2 linked regions of the Elephas maximus indicus genome follow. The protein of the gene in region 1 interacts with the protein of each later gene in a pairwise test. Links are inferred from orthologs where the notes say so. Each region holds a gene or a part of one and is shown on either strand. Other genes may lie near its edges.

What was found.
Region 2: the proteins of CLK4 (region 1) and UBL5 interact in a two-hybrid assay, tested with the Homo sapiens proteins (2 studies listed by BioGRID and IntAct). The link is inferred for Elephas maximus indicus from reciprocal best matches to the Homo sapiens genes CLK4 and UBL5.

What each region holds. Positions count from the first base shown.
Region 1 is NC_064820.1:198,869,896-198,882,543, forward strand, and holds the start of CLK4 (dual specificity protein kinase CLK4), read right to left. Parts: upstream 5,630-12,648; 5' UTR 5,502-5,629; intron 768-5,501; coding exon 604-767; intron 1-603. UniProt on the Homo sapiens protein: Dual specificity kinase acting on both serine/threonine and tyrosine-containing substrates.
Region 2 is NC_064821.1:27,997,785-28,009,569, forward strand, and holds UBL5 (ubiquitin-like protein 5), read left to right. Parts: upstream 1-6,914; 5' UTR 6,915-7,023; intron 7,024-7,345; 5' UTR 7,346-7,356; coding exon 7,357-7,412; intron 7,413-7,612; coding exon 7,613-7,696; intron 7,697-7,839; coding exon 7,840-7,877; intron 7,878-8,368; coding exon 8,369-8,412; 3' UTR 8,413-8,506; downstream 8,507-11,785. UniProt on the Homo sapiens protein: Ubiquitin-like protein that plays a role in cell proliferation and sister chromatid cohesion by associating with spliceosomal proteins. Participates thereby in pre-mRNA splicing by maintaining spliceosome integrity.

The sequences.
Region 1 (12,648 bases):
ACCCTTTCCTAAATTACTGGCTACTGCCTACGCAAAGGAATGGTTCTTTTTACAATGAAGCTTCTCAAAATCCCAAATGTATCCACTGCTTTTACCTACAAATATAATCTGTAGAACACAGTGTGAGACTAACCCCCAACACATTTTAGCATGCCGTATCTCATTCATGAAACACGAAACATACATTTTTCCCTCCTACACACCCAATGTATAGCTAAAGGCACTGACTGGGTGTTCTGTCATCATTATTGACTTTTTGTGTGCCTCATCTCCCTAACTATGTTACTGGCAGCCTATTTATAGTATTTTTTGGCAGATCCTCACAATACCTTAATGTTTTATACCCACTTACTGATACTGTCTCCAGCCACTGCCAGATAGACATAGACACATGAGGATAGGAATTTTGTTTTAGTCACAGCTGTAGCCTCAGCACCTATAAAGTGTTTGCCCCATAATAGGCACTCGTTATTTTTTTTCAATGAATAAACATTTCTTGACTGAATCATAAAACAATTTGACAAATGAAAACTATGTATGTAAATGACAAATCACGAAAAAAACTACTGGAATTAAAATGTTACTAGTTCAAGAGTAATTTACCAGTCAGATTCTTTAAACTGCGGAGGTGGTTTTTTACAATGCCTGTTCTCTTGTGTGCTACTGTGAGACCTCCTCTTCCGTTTGTGACTTCCACTGTAGCTTTCATGCCCCCAGCTTTCTCTGCTATCCCAATCAGGGCAATGAGTGCGTTTTGAATGCCGCATCTGTTAACAGAAACAAAAAGGGATTTGTGGAAGTTATAGTGTACATAGCTGTGTTTAAAAAAGTATTACAGATTAATATTATTTAAACATAAAAACCCAGCACACAGGCTCTAAAATCTTTTTTTTTTTTTTGGTACAATTTAGTGCCATTAATTCATCATATTGTGCAACCATCACCATCCTCCATTTCCAAATTTTTCCACCACCCTTAACAGAAGATCAATGTCCTCTATCTAAATTCTTTTTAGGCTAATGGCCCACATTACCACAGCCTCGACCAGACTGAGTCCAGTACAACTAGCCGGTGCCCAGCTACCACCACCAAAACTGCTCTGACAGGGATCACAACAGAGGGTCCCGGAAAGAGCTGGAGAAAAATGCAGAACAAAATTCGAACTCAAAAAGAAAGACCGGACTTGCTTACCTCACAGAGACTGGAAAAACCCTGGGAGTATGGCCCCTAAACACCCTTCAGCTCAGTAACGAGGTCACTCCTAAGGTTCACCCTTCAGCCAAAGACTGAACAGGCTCATGGAACAAAACAAGACTAAAGGTGGGTACCAGCCCTGGGGCAGGGACTGGAAGATAGTAGGGAACAGGAAAGCTGGTAATAGGGAACAGAAGGGAGCGTGTTGGCATGTTATGGGGTTGTTAACCAATGTCATAGAGCAACGTGTGTACTGTTCGATGAGAAACTAGTTTGTTCTGTAAACCTTCATCTAAAGTACAGTAAATAAATAAATAAAATCTTTTTAGGTAATGTTCCCCATCATGGGGCACTAGACCAAGATGACTTAAGCGGCATACAGATCTAGATACCAATACTGTAAGACCTTAATACATTTTCTTTCAATCTTTTCAATTACACCCAGGAAAAAGTCTCGGCTTGATGTTTATCTTCAACTAACACTTGCTCATTGTCCTTTGAAAACAAAAGTGCCAGGGCTTGGGCAAACAGCCTTCAGTAAATAACAGTATTTAGCTAGAAATGAATACTTTTGTTTTTCTTTTATTTTTACAATTACCTTCTTTATGACAACTAATTTCTGATTTCCTAATTAAGTTATTGATATGATTTCCTTAAAACTGTTAAAGTTAAAATCTGAGTTGACTTAAAGATAAATAATATGACAAGTGTCACCCAGCTTTGGCAAAAATACTATATAGTACAAATAACTGAAGTCAGCAAAAACACTCAGGGATATTAAATGTGGGAAATTACTTTGTCTTAAAGTAATTTAACTCTCTCAAACTCTGCAGAGTTCCCTTCTATAAATCTCAGAATGACTCCAACCTTTGAAAATAATAGGAGGTAAAGAGAACAGTATTCAACAGAGAAACTGAAGGCCAATAAAGAGATGTGATTTAATGAACTCACTTTTTTTTAATCCAACCAGTTTATTTTCAGATCATTCTACAGTTATTCTTAAACCTAGCTGCTACAGCTCTGAAGCACTCTGTAAAAGAAACCAACCTAGGAGCTGCACAGTGAAGTACGTCACAGTCAAATCAGAAGAATGATGGTGACAATTCCCTGACACCATCTACAACTTCAATTACATAGGCTCATTCCAGGTTCAGTATCTGTGCTCAATGTCATCCTGATCTGCTTCTCCCCAACTTAACTCTTTTCCAAAGCAACTAAATTTTTAAGTGACGTCTAAACTCTGTTAAACAGGGTGAGCTTAAAAAGGCAAAAAGGAAAGAATTTCACAACTTCAGCAAGGAATTGGAAAAGGCTAAAATGTAACAAAACCAATTGAGTTAACCTCATTCAGCTTGTTCAAGTGACTTGGGAACCAGCAAACAAATGCCAAGTGAAAATGTCAATTTCCAAGTGGATTAAAATGAGACTTTGAAATGAGGCAGTTCAACTCTCCTGGGAGGCATTCCTTAAAAAACTGTATATATCATCCCATCAGGGCCTGATGCCACCAAATATTCAGATCTCTTTAACTCCTCTTGCTGATTCTAACTCTACGCCTGTAAAGTGTTCTTCTGATAATGTGACTTCTCTTTGAGCTTGTTTAAGAAAGGAGAAGACATTGATCAGGTCAAACAAGAATCCTAAAACCAGGGCTTCCAACAGCTTATTTTCGGTTTGACCCCCTGCTAAGAATTTGCTCTTCCACCCCAGATATACTGAATCTACAGTTTATCTATAGGGTCACTGTGAGTCGGAATCCACTTGGCAGCAATGGGTTTTCTGGTTTTTACAGTTTACCAAGACCCTCAGGTGGTTCTGGGGTAAATGCAAATTCTCAGCAGGCAGTCAAACAGAAAATAACTGGTTCAAAACCCTGCCTAAAACACCTGCTAGGCATCTCACCGGAAATAAGTAGTCTGACTTAAGTATGAAACGTGTTGTTACCGTTAGATGCCAAGGAATCGATTCTGACTCATAGCGACCCCATGCGACAGAATAGAACTGCCCCTCAGGGTTTACCAGGCTATAATCTCTACAGAAGCAGATCGCTAAGTCTTTCTACCTTGAAGTGGCTGGGGGGTTTGAAATGCTGTCCTTTCAGTTAACAGCTGAGCACTTAATCACTGCGCCACCAGGGCTCCGTGTATGGGACATAAATTTGGGAAAATGAACTAAAGGGCATGCAAATTTACCCGAAGCAAAAAGCCAAAAAATAAACTTTCTTCAGAGGAGCCATAAAAAACATTTCTATTTTCTAGTGGAATTCTTCTGATACCTTCCTTGAATTACCAAAATTGAATTTTAACCACATCGGGAACTTTTTAAAATAGCTTCTCAGCATTTTCAAACAAATAAGAGCAGGCAAAATCACATCTGATAAACGGTTATTATGACCACCATCCATTATTGTGCAGTTTTTTTGCCAAACATGTGTCTGGTTTAGTTTTTTTCCCCTTCCTACTGTCAGTTGGCCACAACAGGCTCACCTCCAGCAAGGCAGCATTCTCAAATAAACAAAGTTATTACACTAAAACCTGTGAAAGCTGGAACCTAGGTAAGACTGAAACCTCTCAGAAAAGGAAAATTCAAATACTTCCCTATAAGAGAGAGCGATAGACAAGTGGTAAGGCTGTATGCCCTGTCAAAGGTGGAAAACTTACAAGACCTGGAAAAAACAAGGCAGATCCTTGGAGTTCCAGCTCTCAATAATGAACTATTTGTGAGAGCCCAAGATTTGTATTTCTGTAATCAAGTTTCAGAAACCCTGGTGGTATAGCGGTTAAGTGCTACAGCTGCTAACCAAAGGGTCAGCAGCAGTTTGAATCTGGCAGGTGCTCCCTGGAAACTCCATGGGGCAGTTCTATTCTGTCCTATAGGGTCGCTATGAGTTGGTTTCCACTCCACAGCACTGGGTTGTTTGGGTAATCAAGTGTCACTACTTCAAATTTAATGCAGTTACTGTTAGGAAGTTTTTTTTTCCCCTAATGCTCAGAAATATATTCTCAGAAGGTAAAGATTTCTTCAGTGACTGTTCCTTCACACACACACACACAAACTACCTAGAAATTATTAAATTATCTCTAATTAAAAATAACCCTATATGCTAGAATCATCAGATATTTTCCATAAAAACAGACACACGGGATCCATCCGTATGCATGCACCTGTACTGGAAATCTGATTTTCCTGACATTTTTAAAATCTTATGATACCCGACACTTAATGCTATGTACATGGCTTAAAAACATCAAAATAGACGTTATGACTAGTCGGCTCCAAGACAGCATTTAATAAGTAACACGAAGCCTGTGGGTGCGTGAGTGATGCACAATCACATAGAAGACTATAAAGGGAGGCCAAGTGGTTGGCCCGGTCAGTTTGGAGCGTTGTTTTCTTAGAACTGGATAAGCATAGCTGGACTACGTGAGTAATCACGAATAATACGATGCAAAATTATCAGAAATACAGATTAGCTGTTAACAGTGGTGTGCTCCACCTTAGGAAGAAAACGCACCGCACAAATGACGAACCTCCCATATTTCAACCTTCCAAGCTTGAGCTAAATTCCACCAACTGGACTCGCAGGAGGTGCCCCGGTGGTGCAGTGGTTAAAGCGCTCGGATGCTAGGTCAGCGGTTCGAACCCACCAGCCGTTGCTCAGCAGGCGAAAGATGTGGCAGTTCACTTCCCTAAAGATTACAGCCTTGGAAACCCTATGGGGCAGTTCCACTGTGTCCTACAGGATCGCTGAGTCGGAATCGACTCGATGACGCGGGTTTTCTGAATTCACAGCTCCTCTGACGCCCAGCCTCCATCACCGCCCAGCCTCCCCGCCCCGGGCCCCCGGCTGGGGCCTTTGCCTCACTCACAGATCCCGGCAAATATCTGATTCTGGAAAACCCCAAACTCCAGAAACGGCTCTCGAAGGGTCTCCCGCACTGCTGGTCCCCGCATTCGGCAAGTCTTCGCTCCAGCGGGCGGCGGCGGCCCTGAAGGGATCACCAAGACCCCGCCCGGCCCGTTAGCCACAACATCGGTACGAGGCTGGGGCCTGCGGAGCCGCGGTGCACGAGACAGGGGCCCTCAGGTAAGGGTCAGAGCAGAACCGCGGGCCTTTCCGCCCCAGAACTTTAGATGTACCATGACGCCCGAGCAACTTTAGGTTTTTAAGGCCACCAGCTGAGCAGTACCTCTTAGGAACCCCCAACTCATCAACAAGCGCCGAGGCCCCGAACCCAGTCGTTTCTCCGACACCTGGCCTTGAGACATAAGTCTCCCAGCCAAGCACACTCCATCCTATACCTTACCTCTCCAAAAGCAAAAGGCCTTTTGGGCGAGAAACGTCGCCAAACCGCCGTCTTCCCCCTCCAGCTACTGCGACAAAAACCCCACAAAATGGCGGTAGCGGCCCCTAGCACCACCTACGACGCGCGAACGCGCCTGCGTTACAGAGCCTCTGGCGCTCCGGCCCCGCCCCTAGGGGCGGGGCTCTGTGACCCAACCAGCCCCGCCTCGAGGCCTGGTGGGGCAACGGCGATTCGTACAGTCGCTCTGAGTGAAACCGCGGTGAAACTCTAGTACTCTCCCCACAACATGTAGGGCGTGTCTGCGCCTCAAGGTGGAGCTAAAAGTGCTGCGCTTGTCGGCAGGGCCAGCCCGTGGCTGTTGACCTGCTCTTCCCGTCAAGGGTGACGCGCTGTCGCACTTTCTCCACCATTCCGCCCCATCCCCCACGCCCTCAACTTCAGAGGCAGCCAAGAAACAACACAAAAACCCTCAAAGCCCACGCTGTGCCGTAGTCCCTGTCCACTTGGAGCTTTCGGTCTCAAATGGGTTTAGAATAAAGATGTTTCAGAAAACAAGCTCAGGGGTGCTTATTTTTTAAAGGCACAGGCTCCTAAGCAGAAAGAAAAAAAAAAAAGAGGAAGTTTCTTACGAGGTTCTTCCTGTTATGGTTCCTGCTCCTGGGACAGCTATGGTAGCTGGAAGTTTTACTAACGAAGTCCTCCCGTTATTTGTCCCTGAGGGTTGATTTTAAAATTCAGCCAAAGCAGGGGTAATGGCTGTGAGCCAGTGAGCGTCCATTAAGCGGCTTGCTTACCTCAGAAAAAGATACTTTGCAGTTCTGAGAATCCCCAGATGTAAGGTGAGAAGACAGCCAAAGACTGGGGAACGCTTTAAGGGACAGAAGAAGCCCGAGTAGGAGCATTGAGAGTTTGATGTTAGAGAAAATAAGGAAAGTGTTTCAATAACAGAAAGGCTGACTGTCAAATGTTACAAAGGGGTCAGGTATTCAGATATTGTTAATATTGGGAAGTGTCAGCAAACCCACCCCGTTGCCGTCAGGGAGATTCTGTATTCTCTCAAGGATTCCCTGGATAAAAAGGAAAAGCAGAAATTAAAATTGGAAGGGCAGGGTCCCATTGTTGTGGTCATTATTCCTATAGCATGTGGGATACCTGAATTCTTTTACCTTGTTAGATGAACAGAGGGCACTGTGATACATTTAGTGAACTAACATCACAGATGTTAGATACTTGTGATACATAGAAACTTGTGCTGCCTATTTTGGGTAAATTGAATTCTCACTGAGATTGTACCTTACTTCAAGAAGGTTAGTGAAAAGACAATTGAAAGTGAAAATTCTTTACACTACAGAATGAAACTGAGATGATCGTATTCTCCTCACTTGGAATACCCCCTATTTCCATATCTATAGATTTACATCTTACCTGTCCTTTAATGTTCAACTCCTTAAAGATGCTGTCCCTGACCGCATCAGCTTCCACCCATCTCCTGCTCTTGGCTACTTCAGTTAGAGTTGAAGTCTTCAAATAATGGGTAAAGGCATGCTGGTGTGTCTAGGGCCAATCAAGCATGCCAACCAATTTTGCCTAAATAGTGAAATTTATTGGTTCTGCAAGTGATCACACGTACTGTTTCAGAGATAGAACATTGAGCTGAGAGGGTTGGCGATCTTGTAAGGTAAAGTGGGGCTCAACTTGCTGCATATTAAGTGTAAGTTCAAGCTGGCACCAAAGAAAAGTTCCCTGTCTGTTGGAGTATGAGAGAGAGTTGTCTCATGAGGATGTGAGTGTGGTCAGGACAGTATACCCAAAAACCAAAACCCAGCACCATCGAGTCAATTCCAACTCACAGACTACTCAAATAGCAACACGGGGTTAAAAGGCAGCCACATGGAGGAGTCAACTGCAGAGGTTCTTACAGATACTATAAGATACTGTTACTCAGTAGTGGAATCTGCTTTGTAATTACTTGTTTTAGTGTTGTTTTGAGTATTTTAAATGTGCCACCAAAAGGTCTAAGATTTGAAAGGGTACAGTGATCACAAGGGGGCTGAAAAACACCAAATGTATCTATGACACGTTACACGGCACTGTGGTGCTCCTGATTGTCATCTGTGGCTTTGTGCTTCAGCAGGGAACAAGGACCCTGTTTTATATTTTGCTTGGTTGTCTCCTTTTAGTGCCCAGAATGGACTAAACATTAATAGGTTGTTTACATAAGCTACTTTTGGCCACTTTGCTCAGTGGTTTAAATTCTAAACTGATTAAGTCAAAGGTAAAGATTTGCTTCCAGGATCCCTGCGGCAGTTAGCTTAATAACACTCTTAATAACACGTGGCAGCCTCAACCTTCTCCATTAAGTCAGTTCCCTGGAAATGAACACCATTGTTTAAAAAAAAAAAAAATAAATTTCTGCAAGTTCACTACCAACACTGAAAAAACTTCCTAATCAAGTAGCTTCATCTCCACAGAAAAACAAGTATGTTCAAGAAAACCTTAAGTTAAACCATGTGTTAAAAACAACCATTTGAGGAAAATCTTAGCTTTGAAGAGCAAAAAAAAAATAAAAATTTTTATTTTATTTGTATTTATATTTATTTATTTTTTTACAACCAGAGGAATATTCTTTCATATATTCGAACATGCATATTCTATATACTTAACTTCAGATATTGAAAACACTCATCTATAAATGAAGTTTCAGAGTAAAAGTCTAAATTGTGTAAATTGTTTAGCAAAAGCTTTATAGAGAAACCTTTACAAAAAAAAATCTTAATACCTACGTTATAATTGCTCATCACCAATAATTTATTCATCTGAATTCAGTTCCTTTTTTTTTTTTGGCTATCAATTAACTACTCACGATGTGTTAACCATTTTATATACATGAACTCATTTAATAATATAAATAACCGTATAAGGTGATCATTGGTTATTTGCCCTAGATCACATGGTTATCAAGTGCCAGGCTAGGATTTAAATCCAGGCCTTGCTTGCTCCAATGCTCTTGCATTTACTACATTCTACTGAACGGCTATAACTCATATAACAAAATACATAGCAACTTACTTTACTTAATCTTTAGGGGAAACCATGCCGAATCCATCTTTCAGCAAGACCAAAAGAGTTTGTTTTAAATAACCACAACCCAGGGTTATTTATTTGAAGGCTCCTCATGATGAAACAATGGATCAGTTTACCTCCAGTACATCAAGGCCATCAAAGGTCCCAGTGTCCCCTACTTGCTGTTGAACAGCGAGTCACAAAGGGTCTCCTATGCATCCTACTCTGCCCAAGATGAATAACGTCCCAGGTTTCTCAGGTGTTTCCTGAGAGTGGTGGTGAGGAGATTCACAGAGCACAACAATGCCAGAAGCATTCTGTGACACACAACACACTTTGCAAAGTGTGTGGAGTGTATGCGGAGAAGTATGGGAAGTGGTTTAAGTTAGAGGTTCTGTAGGAAATACAATCAACTCGTCTTTCCAATCTCTTTGTCAATAATGTCCAGTACCACCAATGAAAGGGGCTCAGGACAGGGTCACAGTTGGATGTAACTTTTGAATACACCTGTGACAGAGGGACCATGATAGCTGTGACTTATAAGTGTGATTTTTAACACAATACATACCGTCTATGCAGATATAACACAATACCATCTACACATTTAAACCACAACTGTTGCTACTGTTGTTTCTTTTGGTCCATTTGGCCCCCAACTCATGGCAATCCGATGCACAACAAAATGCTGCCTGGTCCTGCACCATCCTCCCAGATTTGACTGATTGCCAGGCTTTTCTTCCTAGTCTGTTGGTCTGGAAGCTCCTCTGAAAGCTATTTGGCGGCACAGTAACACACAAGCTTCCACTGACAGATGGGTGGTGGTTCCACATGAGGCACATTGGCTAGGAACTGAACCTGGGTCTCCCACGTGGAAGGTAAGAATTCTACCGCTGTTCAGTTACCAGTATATATATGTATGTATGTATGTATATATATGTATATATGTGTGTGTGTAGGATCTGAGAGTAGTAGATGGGAAAGACAGATATTAAACACATTAGAGATGTGCTTCTTTCTCAGAGTTCTGAATTTTGGAATAGGAGCCCATCAAGGCTATGACTTCAGTTTCCTTTGTAGCTTTGCTACCCTTGCAATTAAATCCTAGGCCTGATTTTTCAACACAGTCTGCCCTGTGGTACGGGAGATACCCACTGCTGTCAAGTCGATTCCGACTTATAGCGACCCTATAGGACAGAGCAGAACTGCCCTGTAGAGTTTCCAAGGAGCATCTGGTGGATTTGAACTGCCGACTTCTTGGTTAGCAGCTTTAGCACTTAACCACTACACCATTAGGGTTACCCTACAGGAGATAAAGATCTCTAAATGCAAAGGAGGAATCCTTGGGTGGTACAAAGGTTAGGAGTTTGAGTCTATCCAGCGGCACCTTGGAAAACAGCCCTGGTGATCTACTTCTGAAAAATCAGACAGTTCTACTCTGACACAGATGGGGTCACCATGAGTTGAAACTGACTTGACAGCAACTGGAAAAAAAAAGGTAATGGAGGCTTTCTGATACTACAGTGTGCTTTCAGTTGACGGCTGGCTGGCCTGAGCTTGTCGTTTTCTTTTTTCTAGGCTTTTAAAACAACTAAAGATAAACAACTCCACAATTAAAATTACTGTTGTCCTTATACTATTCAAGTACCTCCAGCCAATGCATAAGTTAATGTTTCACCTTCACTGAACCTCATTCTGATTCACCACCAGGGACAGGTTTTTCTAGACCCAAGGACTATATGCTTTCTTTTTAACCACTTTGTCAACCCATTACCATCAAGTTGATTCTGACTCATAGTCACCCTATAGGACAGAGTAGAACTGCCCATAGGATTTCCAAGGAGCAGCTGGTGGATTCGAACTGCTGATCTTTTGATTAGCAGCTGAGCTGTTAACCACCGCCCTACCAGGGCTCCTGTCTCCCTTAGGAACGGTGATAATAGGCATCTCTGCCTTATGCCTGCTTGCACTGTTTTATTTAAGTTTCATAATGTAACTTATTTTTCCTTCTTAATATATTGTAGAAAATTTTCACACCAATAAATATTTATATATGTCATCTTTTTTTTTTTTTAACAATTACCTTGTTGATGGAATTTAGTTTGCTATCAAATTTTCTTTTGTCTCAGGAATATGCTTTTTAAAATTTGAAATTTATACAGTTCAAAATTAGTTTTTAAATTTCTAAAGGTACAAAAGTGTTTACAATGAAAGGAATCTCTCATCCCTGCTCCCACCTACCTCATTTCCTTCCTTAGAAACAACCAATGTTATTAATATTTTGAATATCTTTCCAGAGGTATTCCACGCATTTACAAATAACACATACACACGCACACATGCATACTTTCCCCCTTTTCACTCCTTTATAACCTTTTATTTTGAAAAATTTCAAAGTTACAGAAGAGTTGCTGGAATACTACATTGATAGCCAAAAAGTGGAAACAATCCAAATGTCCATCTACTTATAAATGAATAAACAAAATGTGGTATATCCATACAATGGAGTATTTATTCAACCATAAAAAGAAATGAAGTAATGATACATGGATGAACCTTGAAAACATTATGTTAAGTGAAAGAAGCTAGTCACAGAAGACCACATATGATATGATTCCATTCATATGAAATGTCCAGAATAGACAAAGAAATAGATACGGAAAGTAGAGTAGTGGTTGCCTAGGGCTGGGATCTAGGGGATGGGGTGTGATCTAAAGGGTATGGGGTTTCTTTTTGGGGCTGATGAAAGTGTTCTAAAATTGATTGGGTTGATAGTTGCACAACTCTGTGAAGATACTAAAGAAACATGAAATTGTACACTTTAAATGGGCGAATTACATCGTATATGAATTATATTTCAAAAAAGCTGTTAACAAAAAAAAAAAGGAGGAAGAAGAAATTAAGTATTGATATATGCTACAAGGAGCCCTGATGATGCAGTGGTTAAGTGCTTGACTGCTAACTGAAAGGGTGGTGGTTTGAACTCACCCCTTGCTCTGCAGGAAAATGATGTGGCAGACTGCTTCTGTAAAGGGTACAGCCTTGGAAACCCCATGGGGCAGTTCTACTCTATCCTAATGGTCGCTATGAGTTGGAATCCACTCAGCGGCAGTTGGTTTGATTTTTTGGCTTTATATGCTACGACATGCATGAATCTTGAAAATCAAATGAAGCGAAAGAAGTTACACCCAAAAGCTACATGTTGTATGATTCCGTTTGTACAAAATGTCCATAATAGGCAAATTCATGAAGACAGAAAGTAGATTAGGAGTTTGGAAGAGAAGGGAATGGAGAGTAAGTAATTGGTATGGGGTTTGTTTTTGTAGCGATGAAATGTTTCAGAATTTGATTGTAGTGCTGGTTCCACAACCTTGTGAATATACTAAAAAAAAACGCTGAATTGTAAACTTTAAAAAAGGTGCATTTTATGGTATGTGAATCATACCTCAATAAAAATATTTCAAAAGATTACTGCATTGAACATCCACATACCATTCAGCTAGATTTGTTAGCGTTTTGCTATATTTGTTTTATCTGTTCACGTTTATAGTCTTTTTTTTTTTCCTCTGAGGTATTTGAGTTAGCTACAGTCATCACAACCCTTCAACTCTAAATACTTTAGCACTGACTCCTAAGATCGAGGGCATTCTTGTAGTGACCACCATACTGTTAACACACTCATGAAATCTGATTCGCAGTGCCGGGAATGACCTTTACATCCGGTTCCTCTCCTTTCTTTTTTACATGACTTGATCTATCATTCAAATCCTTGCTAACGAAGAGCTCGTGCTCCAAATTTACAATCAATACTCAGTAATTGAGTTTCTACTGAGCCTCAAGTTCCTCCATTGTAGAATGAAAGAAGAATATTATTGCTGGAACGGGAACTTGCTGAATTATATTGTTGTTAGGTGCCATGGAGTCGTTACCGACTCATTGCAACCCTCGGAGACCAAGTCACTAATCTATGTAAATTGTTCTCTCCCTTTCAGAGTAAGTATATTGAATTCACTTACGTTTAATGTGCATGATTCAACTCCTCTATAGTAACCGCTAGGAGCCCCATGGCACAAATGGTTAAGCACTG
Region 2 (11,785 bases), on another chromosome or scaffold:
CTAGAAACACACTACCTACCTAAACTAACACAAACAGAGGTAGAACAAGTAAATGAACCCATAACAAAAGAAGAGATTGAAAAGGTAATCGAAAAACTCCCAACAAAAAAAAGCCCTGTTCCAGACAGCTTCACTGCAGAGTTCTAGCAACCTTTCAGAGAACAGTTAACACCACTACCACTAAAGGTATTTCAAAGCATAAGAAAGGACAGAATACTCCCAAACTCATTCTATGAATCCACTATATCCCTGATACCAAAACCAGGTAAAGACACCACCAAAAAAGAAAATTACAGACCTATATCCCTCATGAACTTAGATGCCAAAATCCTCAACAAAATTCTAGCCAATAGAATTCAACAACATATCAAAAAAATAATACATCATGAACAAGTGGGATTCATACCAGGTATTCAGGGATGGTTCAACAATAGAAAAACAATTAATGTAATCCATCACATAAATAAAACAAAAGAAAAGAACAACATGATCTTATCAATGGATGCAGAAAAGGCATTTGACAAAGGTCAACACCCATTCGTGATAAAAGCTCTCAGCAAATTAGGAATAGAAGGAAAATTCCTCAACATAATAAAGGGCATTTTTACAAAGCCAACAGCCAACATCATCCTAAATGGAGAGAGTCTAAAAGCATTCCCCTTGAGATTGGGAGCCGGACGAGGATGCCCTTTATCACCACTCTTACTCAACATTGTGCTGGAGGTCCTAGCCGGAGCAATTAGGCTAGATAAAGAAATAAAGTGCATCCAGATTGGTGAGGAAGAAGTAGAAGTATCTCTATTTGCAGATGACATGATCTTACACACAGAAAACCCTGAAGAATCCTCAAGAAAACTACTGAAACTAATAGTTCAGCAGAGTATCAGGATACAAGATAAACATACAAAAATCAGTTGGATTCCTCTACACCAACAAAAAGATCATTGAAGAGGAAATCACCAAATCAATACGATTTACAATAGCCCCCAAGAAATTAAAATACTTAGGAATAAATCTTACCAGAGACGTAAAAGACCTATACAAAGAAAACTACAAGACACTACCACAAGAAAAAAAAAAAAAAGAGAGACCTACCTAAATAGAAAAACATACCTTGCTCATGGATAGGAAGACCTAACGTTGTAAAAATGTCTATTCTACAAAAAGCCATCTATAGATACATCACAATTCCGATCCAAATTCCAAAGACTTTTTTTAATGAGATGGAGAAACAAATCACCAACTTCATATGGAAGGGAAAGAGGCCCCAGATAAGGAAAGCATTACCGAAAAAGAACAAAGTGGGAGGCCTTACTCTACCTGATTTTAGAACCTATTATACCGCCACAGTAGTCAAAACAGCCTGGTACTGGTACAACAACAGATACATAGACCAGTGGAACAGAATTGAGAATCCAGACATAAATCCATCCCCATATGAGCAGCTGATATTTGACAAAGACCTGAAGTTCCTTAAATGGGGAAAAAATAGTGTCTTTAACAAATGGTGCTGGCATAACTGGATATTCATCTGCAAAAAAATGAAACAAGACCCATACCTCACACCATGCACAAAAACTAACTCAAAATGGATCAAAGACCTAAATATAAAATCTAAAACGATAAAGATCATGGAAGAAAAAATAGGGACAATGCCAGGAGCCCTAATACATGGCATAAACAGTGTATAAAACATTACTAACAACACAGAAGAGAAACTAGATAACTGGGAGCTCCTAAAAATCAAACACCTATGCTCATCCAAAGACTTCACCAAAAGAGTAAAAAGGCATCCTACAGACTGGGAAAAAGTTTTTTGCTATGACATTTCCGATCAGCATCTGATCTCTAAAATTTACATGATACTGCAAAAACTCAACTACAAAAAGAAAAATAACCCAATTTAAAAATGGGAAAAGAATACAAATAGGCACTTCACTGAAGAAGACATTCAGGTAGCTAACAGATACAGGAGGAAATGCTCATGATCATTAGCCATTAGAGAAATTCAAATCAAAACTACAATGAGATTCCATCTCACTCCAACAAGGCTAGCATTAATCCAAAAAACACAAAATAATAAATGTTGGAGAGGTTGTGTGCATTCCCACCTCAGGACCTTTGCCCTTAGTGGTTCCTCTCATCTGGACCAATTATCCAAGGTAGTCGTACAGCTGGATGCCTTAACTTCATTCCTGTCTCTATAAAAACTGATGACCACATCAAAAATAGTATCCTCTGCCACTCTCTACCTCCTTTACTTTGTAGCTCTTGTCACTCCCTCACAAAAAAAGGCTTGTACATCCCTTCCCCCTTCTTTCTGCCTTGAACACGAATTAGATGCCTCATGCTTTGGCAGCCATATTGCAATCATGCGGGGAAAGGCCAAAAAAAAAAAAAAATCACACAGACACTAGCTCCATATATCACTGAGCTATTCATCCAGCATTGCCTACATCCAGAATTTTCATCATGAAAAAAATAGCCACTTATTTAAGCAACTGTTAGCTTTCTGACTTGAAGCCAAGAGCATTCCTAACTTTACACACTGGCTCTTCCCTCTGCTCAGAACATTCTGATAACTCCTCATAACTCCAAAAGACAAAAGAGCTCCTATTAGTCAGAGCTTATTGTGTGCCAAGCACTGAGATAAGCGTTTTACCAGTATTATCTCATTGTATTTCCACAACCCTAAGTCAGTGGGGGCAGTGGTGGTTCAGTGGTAGAATTCTTACCTTAGGTTTGATTTCCAGCCAATGCACCTCAGATGCAGCCACCACTCATCTGTCAGTGGAAGCTTCCGTGTTGCTATGATGCTAAACAGGTTTCAGCTGAGTTTCCAGACTAGGAAGAAAAGCCTAGTGATCTGTTTCCAAAAATCAGCCAGTGAAAGCCTTATGGATAACAAGGATCCAATCCGCAACTGATCATGAGGATGGAGCAGGACCGGGCAGCGTTTCATTCTGTTGTGCGTGGGGTCACCAGGAGTCAGGGGCCGACTCTACTACAGCTAACAGCAAGTGATCGACACTAGAGGAAGCTGAAACTTAGAGGTCAAGTCACGTGCCAAAGCCACAAGTCCAGGTCTTTCAGATGCCAGTATCTGGGCCTCTTCACAGTGCCCTGTATCGTGCTTCACTCTGGAAAGTCATGCCATCACGCTGAGCAGTGCCCCCTCTGTGCTTCCCCCTCACAGCACTTGTCACTGTATTACTGTATGAACCTCTTCACCTGTTGTCATGGATTGAATTGTATCCCCAAAAATATGTGTATCAATTTGGCTGGGCCATGGTTCCCAGTATTGTGTGGTTGTCCTCCATTTCGTGATTGTAATTTTCCTATGCGTTGTAAATCCTAATCTCTGCCAGTGGTTAATGAGGCAAGATTAGATTATGTTAAAGAGGATTAGGGTGGCATTGTAACACCCTTACTAAGGTCACATCCCTGATCCAATGTAAAGGGAGTTTCCCTGGAGTGTGGCCTGCACCACCTTTTATTTTACAAGAGATAAAAGGAAAGGGAAGCAAGTAGGGAGTGGGGGACTTCATACCACCAAGAAAGAAGAGCAGGAATGTGAGTCTTTTGGACCCAGGGTCCCTGTGCTGAGAAGCTCCTCGACTAGGGGAAGGTTGACAAGGACCTTCCTCCAGAGGCCACAGGGAGAGAAAGCCTTTCCTTGGAGCTGATGCCCTGAATTTGGACTTGTAGCCTCCTAGACTGTGAGAGAATAAATTTCTCTTTGTTAAAACCATCCACTTGTGGTATTTCTGTTATAGCAGCACTAGATAACCCAGACAGCTGTCTTCCTCCTCTATCAAAAGAATTCTGGGGTGCCAGGTAGGCCTTCTTCACCGCTGGTTCTCCAAGACCTGCTGCAATGCTTGCATGTTGTTATGGACTGAATTGTGTCCCCCAAAAGTATGTGTTGTAAATCCTAACTGCTATACCTATATCCTGGAAACTCTGCTGGTGTAGTGGTTAAGAGTTTGGCTGCTATCCAATAGGCTGGCAGTTCAAATCCACAAGGTGTTCCTTGGAAACCCTATGGAGCAATTCTACTCTGTCCTATAGGGTCGCTATGAGTCAGAATTAACTCGACGACAATGGGTTTGGTTTTTTGTTCTGTTTTGTACCCGTAGTTATAATTCCATTTGGGAGTGATTTTCTTTGTTATGTTAATGAGAAAGTATTAGCATAGGGTGCATTTTGAGTCAATCTCTTTTGAGATATAAAAGGAGCAAATTAAGCAAGGAACTGAAGAAGCAGAGATAAGGGAAGATAGATGCCACGATAGATGAAGATCATCAAGGAGCCAAGGAATAGAAGCTGAGAAATAAGGGCCTTCTCCCAGAGCTGACAGAGAGGGAAAGCCTTCCCCTAGAGTCGGTGCCCTGATTTCAGACTTCTAGCCTTCTAAACTGTGAGAAAATAAATTTCTCTTTGTTAAAGCCACCCACTTATGGTATTACTGTTACAGAGCTAGATAACTAAGACAGTTGTTAAGGAAAGAGACCTCCTGAGCAACTCCTCCACCCCCAAGATGATTTCTTGCCTGGTAAACTCTGGGTGTATGGGGGATTGCTTTTAAGTTCAGCAGAACCCAGGTGTCCCTGCTCCCAGCTCAGTTACAGGGGGTTCCTAAAAACCATCTCATGCCCACCCCACCCAGCAGATAGGAGTGGAAAGGGGTATCAGGTGGGAGAAAAGAACCTCACATACAATCTCCCTCCTCTGACTCAGAAACCCAGGAAACAAGGGGACAGAGAGGGCTTACCCAGCTTGCTCCCTGGATCAGGTCCCAGAACTCTCCCTCCTGGAAAGCACCTCCCCACCCCCCAAAGAGCAAATCTGACAGTAGATACTGTCCAGACAGTGGGATGGTTCCATCCTGGCCCCTCTGTGGGCAAGACCTGGGTCCTTCATGCACAGCTGTGAAGTTCCCAGTTATAAATACCATGGTGCAGGGAGGGGTCACAAAAGGTAAGGTGTCCTGTCTCATGAGGGCCCTACCCCTCCTACCTGGGCCAAGGGGAGGGCATTTTCAAAGCAGTAGCAGTTTAGTCCTGAGACCTCTCATTGTTCTCAACTTCCTTCCCCCTTAACTTAACACAGCTGCGGCAGGTACCCCCATTTCCCAGCAGACCCCCACCACTCCCCATGAAGCCCCCAGCTCCCAATGATCCCAGACTTCATTTTCCTCCTCTCTCAGCAGTATTCCTCACCCCTTTCCAATCTCCAGCAGCCTACAACTCAGCACATGATCCTGAGTTGAGCTATCACTAAATCAAACATTGAGAAATTAGAACTTAAAAAAAAAAAAACTAACATTTACTTACCCCCTTCACCCCCTGATTACAAAAGCTACATGTTCAATAATGCAGGAAATCTGGGGAAACACCAAAAAGCATCAAAGAGGAAAATGAGACTCCCTCCAATCCCACCATCTAGGGGTAACCATCATTAACACCTCATATGACCCAGTATTTCTGTTTTGGACATGTTATCAGAAGGGACCAATCCCTGGAGAAGGACATCATAGAGGGTCAGTGAAAAAAGAGGAAGACCCTCGAGGAGGTGGATTTGACACAGTGGCTGCTGCAACAATGGGCTCAAACAGCAATGATTGTGAGGATGGTGCAGGCCTGCAATGTTTTGTTCTGTTATACATAAGGTTGCTATGAGTTGTTGCTGTTCTTCTTACATTGAAGAGGAAAATGAGATTCAGGGAGGGGAAGTGTCTTGCCTGAGACCATACAACTTAATTTTAAGAGGTGAGGTTTGTATTTTAACTCAGCCATCTGGATCCAAAGCCTGTGCCTCCAGCCTGAGTTTTTCACATTCACTGCCCTCCTCTGCCAACAGTCTGCAGCCACTAGAGGAATGATGGCTCAAAGTTCTGAGGCAGGAAAGCCTGATGTTTTTGATGGGACCCCAAGTCAGCTCCCTAAGGCAGGAGGACCTGACAGGACACCCAGAGCATCTGCCTTTTCCACAGAATGGCCTCTCCTGTCTTCCCCTTCATCTCACATCCTAGTTTGAGGAGGTGATGGGTCTTAAGAGGTGATCCCTTTTCAAGTGAATCCCACAGGGTCACCAAACTGGGAGAATCCAGTCTGCTGAGAAAGAACTATTCAACAATTCCATTGGTTGTTTGCAGGGGGCCTGCTCCCTGTCCCACCAGTCCAGGGGCTGCTTTGGGGCTGAAAGGCAAGGCTGGGATCTGGTACAAAGTGCTCCCAGTAGGGCAGGAGTGACCACCCTTGAAAAATCAGGACAAGGAGATTTTCCAGCTTCCTTGCTGCCGGCTGTGGCAGGGTGGCGACTGGCAGTTGGCTCAGGTATGCAACGTATACTCCAGTCCAAATAGCGCTGTTATTAAAAAACGGGATCAGTCGGCTCCTTTGCTTACTGACTGTAGTTTGCATCCCAGGTGCCCCGGGCGGGGGCGGGGGGAGGGGGGCTGGTTGTCAGTGGGGGCAGACGCTACTGTCAGAGGTGGGGGGTGAACACAACTCTTTGAGCCCAGCCCTGCACAAGGCTGGGGGCTGGACGGGATGCTGCAGGATTCGGTCCCTGCGCCCCGTAGCCCCGAAGCTGCAATGAGAGACTTCGTCCGGCTCAGGAACGGTAGGTCCTCCTAGGATGTTTCCTGGGCCCCTCCGGCCTCCTCACCAACTGACAGGGTCCGCCCACAGCGAAGGCGCCTCAACCAAAGGCTCCGGCGCCAGCCCTCACCTATTCCTTTACGCCCCTTCCCTATCCCTACACGGGCCGGGATCCCGGCTCGGCCCCACGCGCCGACTTCAGGAGTCCCCCTCTCCGGCATCGGGACCCCGAAAGCTGCGACCGGGAACCGCAAGGCAACACCCGCACCCAGGAACTAAAAGATCCCGCCCGGTGGCGAGGTGAGGGGGCCGTGCCTCCACGAGTGCACTTCCGCTTCCGGCTCCGAGCGACGCTTGCGGCCGGGTTTAGTGTTCAAGCTCCGAGGTTGTGGCGTCGGTACCTTCGAGGAGATTGGAGGTGAGGGGGCCGGGAGAGGTGACGGGTCTCGGCCGCCTAGATTCCGCAGGCCTGCGACTGTCGAGGTCGGAGGCCGGAGAACCCTGGGGCTGGGACTTCAGGCGACATGGAGGGGCGGAAACGCAATTGCCGAAGGCCCGCGGGCCTGGGACATCGTACTTAGGGCTCAGGAGGACTCAAATGCGAGGGTTTGGAGGGGGTGAGCGGAAGGCTTAGTGACTGGGGAGGTTGGGACCTGAGAGACATGGAGGCTGGGGTTTTAGAGGTCTGGGAAACCCCTGGAATCTTGACTTTGCCGCCTCCCATCCCTGGTCCTGTGTAGCTCCAGCCAGGATGATCGAGGTGGTTTGCAACGACCGTCTGGGGAAGAAGGTCCGCGTTAAATGCAAGTATCCTTTGGCAATCGAGAGGCAGTAGCCTCTGGGGGTGTGCTTGGCACGAGGCAGGCACTCAGTCGGTGTTGTGGGGTGGTTTTGATTAAACCCAGGAACGGGGGCAGATGGCGTCCTGACAGAGCGCTTTCAGCCCTGGAATCCCCTCTTCTTTTCCTACCTCCTCTTTGCATTTTCCTTAACTTCTCTGCTTCCAGCCCTGATGACACCATCGGGGACCTTAAGAAGTTGATCGCAGCCCAAACTGGCACCCGTTGGAACAAGATTGTCCTTAAGAAGTGGTGAGTGCAGTGGTAGAGCTGCGGCCAGAAGGTTTGGATTGGGGGAATGCTGCAGGCAGCCCTTTGCTTAGGCAGTGCTTCCTCAGCCTGTCTCTAGGGTAAGGACCTCCTGGGCTCCTTTCTGAAAGGTCTTTATCCCATAGGTACACCATTTTTAAGGACCACGTGTGTCTGGGCGACTGTATCCTTTGTGTGACTTCCCGAGAATGGGCCTGCTTGCCCCGCCGTGTTTCTCTTTGTTTGGTACCAGAGTCTAAAAGACTTACACACATAAAGTGTTTAGTATGTAGCACATGATAAGCATTTAGAAAGAGGGACCTATGTAATTATTTTGTTGCGGGAGGGGAGTGTTTGGCTGGTGAAATATTTTGACTAGTATTAGAAAACACTTTAAGTTCAAAATATTTTTTGAGTACTGGGTAGAGTAGACATCCTTGCTCCACCTGAGTGTTGGGCAGGAGGCCAGGATGGAGTGAAACTCAGGCATGTTTGTTACGCAAGGCACTGGAGCATGTACTGTTTTTATGTTTTGGATTCTCCCCAAATCAACATAGGCCAGTCCAAATGGCTTCCTTAGCCCTGGGCTGAGCCTTCATCCTGACCCAGCTGTGAGTGGGTGAAAGGGGTGGGGATGGAGCCCACCATGAGGATTCCTTAACACCTTCACTTCAGATGAAATCCACGATGGGATGAACCTGGAGCTGTATTACCAATAAGGCAGAATTCCTTCCTCCTCTTCTGCCCTCCCTCTCCCCTTCCCACACAGTGGTATGGAGGCTTGTTTTTACATTAATAAAAACTCAGATGCTGCTTCGGTGTTGTCTTCTTCATGTCAGAGCTGTCTGATGAGGGGGAGGGCTGGTGTCTGTCTGGTTGTCACTGTACCCTCAGTGCCCATTTGCTCAGTAAGAGTTGTTGATTGGGTCATTGTGGGAAGAGTGAGTCAGCAGAGTGGGATCCCAGAGCTCTGGGGTTTGCCCTAGGTCACTAAGGGTCCAGGCTTGGGATTGTCACCCTAGAAGACCAGGGAGCCTCTGGGTGGGGACATTAGTAGATGTAGTGGTTAGAAATACAGGCTCTGGATTCAGACAGACCCTGGGTGAAATCCCAGCTTTGCCACCAACAGCTGAGTGATCCTGGGCAAATTACTTAACCTCCCTAAGTCTTCATTTCCTTATTCAAAAACTAGAGCTAATGGTGTTTACTTCATTGGTGTGTTGTGAAGCATAAATAACATAAAGTATGCTTAAACATCCACAGTTACTGGCACTTAACAAAAATAAAAAATGAGTATAGTGGACAGCGGAAGGTAGTGTGGCATAGGCTGTAAGATTCCAGCCTTAGGAGCCAGACCAGCTAGGTATGCACTCTGACTGATCATTAGCAATGGGACTCAGGGAAGTCGACCTCTGATCCTCACTTTCCTCCCCTGAAAAGGACACCATGATGGTACTTACATCTCAGTGAGATAATGTAATTAAAACAGCACACTACCTGGCGCATAGTGCTGTTAGCTGTCCTTGGTCTTCCTCCATGTTTGAGTAGACAAGACAGCAAACATCCTGCCTCTGTTCCTCTGGCCACATGTCCTGGTGCTGACCTTGGCCCTGTCCCCTCCTAGAGGCTGAAGAGAGACCTGGGCCCAGTCTCATTCTGGAGCCCCTCCTTGGAAACCCGTTCCCAGAATCTTGCTCCATCAATACTCCGTCCAAGTTCCAACCAGCCTCTGCCTTTCTTTCACCACAAAGCTTGGAAAATGGACCTGCCTGCCACATAGGACGGTGCTGGTCTGTAGCTCATTGAAAATGGTCTCTCTTTGGTCTTCATTAGTGCCTCTCCCCACTTTCCTTCCATGGCTCCCTCCCTTTTTGGGGACTCCTTTTCCTCCAGGCATGGCAGAAATATCAGTCTCCTGGTACCCTTGCTCTTCCTACTCTTTCTGCTCTGTCTCCCCCATAACTGGCTCTGTTTAAAAACAAAAAATTTTTCAGTTATATGACAGGCTAAAGAGGTGATTCCTTGTTACTTTCAAATCAGCATAGAAGTGAACAGGCTAAAGATGAAAAACTCTCTCCTCCATTCTCTTTCCTGAGATCAGGCCTTTTTCAATGTGTTCATATAAACTTCCGTTTTAATTTTTAAAAAATTATGTGGATGCATGCTTATTAGAAAAATCCAAGTGTTTGTTAAAAACTTTATTTCTGATACCATCCCTTCCACCAGTGGCAGTCATTGACATATTTGAGTAAATCCAGAAATTTTTTGCAATACAATGTAGTTTTTATACAATTGGGATAATTACACATACGGTAATACAGGTATTCCTGACTTGATGTATTCGAGTATTCATATTCAACTTGCATCAGAACAAACTTATGATGGAGTTGTGGGAATGGAATTCCTATACTCATATATTAGCAGCTGACTTTTATATGCTTTATCTTTGACATCTTTCCATATTAATGATCTTTCTCATTCTCTTTTAATTATTTTATTGATTTTTTTGTTTGTTTCATTTTGCTCTTTTACATAAAAGGGCAGTGCAGGACAATTACTGGGTGATGGAACTGTCCTGTATGGATCTGTGATGGTGGATATAGGACTCTGCATTTGTCGATCAGGATATAGGAAGATAGGTGAAATGCAGGCTGTCAAATGAATCCGTGTGTACTACAAATTAATCACATGACCACACTTAACAGGTGGGAAAGAAAGGCGATAAGTTAAATAACTTTGGAAAAAGTATTTTGACTGAATAAGACTAAACACAAAAGAATCTAGTTGATAAATTTGTACCTTATAGGGGTTGTTGTTAGTACCTTTGAGTCAGTTCGGACTCACAGTGACCCTACGTATAACAGAATGAAACACTGCCTGTCCCTGTGCCATCCTCACAGTCATTGCCATGTTTGAGCCCATTGTAGCAGCCACTATGTCAGTCCATTTAGTTGAGGATTTTCCTCTTTTTTCAGACCCTCTACTTTACCAAGCCTTATGTCCTTCTCCAAGGATTGATCCCTCCTGATAACATGTCCAAAGTACATGAGATGAAGTCTCACCATCCTCACTTCTAAGGAGCATTCTTGCTGTACTTCCAAGACAGATTTATTCGTACTTCTGACAGTCCCTGGTATATTAAGTATTTTTCACCAACACCATAATTCAAAAGCATCAATTCTTTGGTCTTATTCATTGTTCAGCTTTTGCATGCATATGAGGCGACTGAAAATATGGCTTGGGTCAGGTGTATTTTAGACCTCAAAGTGAAATCTTTGGTTTTTAATACTTTAAAGAGGTCTTTTGCAGGAGATTTTCCCAATGCAACATGTCATTTGATTTCTTGGCTGCTGCTTCCATGGGTGTTCATTATGTTACTGGAGAATGGTCTCAATTCTTGTCTTCGGCGTAGGAAAGAATTCAAACACTGAGACAAATATTGCCAAGTGAGCAGAGGTTTATTAGCTAGCAGAGGGTTAATAGCAAAAGTACACTTGACTAGGGAGCATCAAACAGGCTACTCAGATATATAGAGTCTGAGAGCCCCAATAGTTGTTTTCTTAGGGTTTTATATCCTTGTCTCTTATCTCTCCCTGTTAACGTTTAACAGCCAAGACAGGGACCCCTATAGAGACTATTTCCTTGGCTTAAGGTTTAATTACCAAGTTAGGGACCCCTATATGGATCATTTCCTTGGCTTAAAGTTTAACTACGTAGGGACCATCTTACTGAGGAATGTCACCACCCCTTGTCTCTTCCTCTTCCAGAGTGCAAGCTCTCCCCCTCCCCCTTACAATTATGGATCCAAGTAAAATGAAATCCCTGACAACTTCAATATTTTCTCTGTTTATCGTGATCGTGATATTGCTTACTGGTCCAGTTGTGAGGATTTTTGTTTTATTTTGAGGTGTAATCCATACTGAACGCTGTAGTTTTTGATCTCCATCAGTTAGTGCTTCAAACCCTCCAAGTCCTCTTCACTTGCAGCAAGCAAAGGTGTGATATTTGGTACCGAGAGTGGTTCTAGAGAAACAAAGTCATAAGAATGAGTTTTCTAAATTTGTTCTCAAGTCTGACTAATCTAAAAGGTGC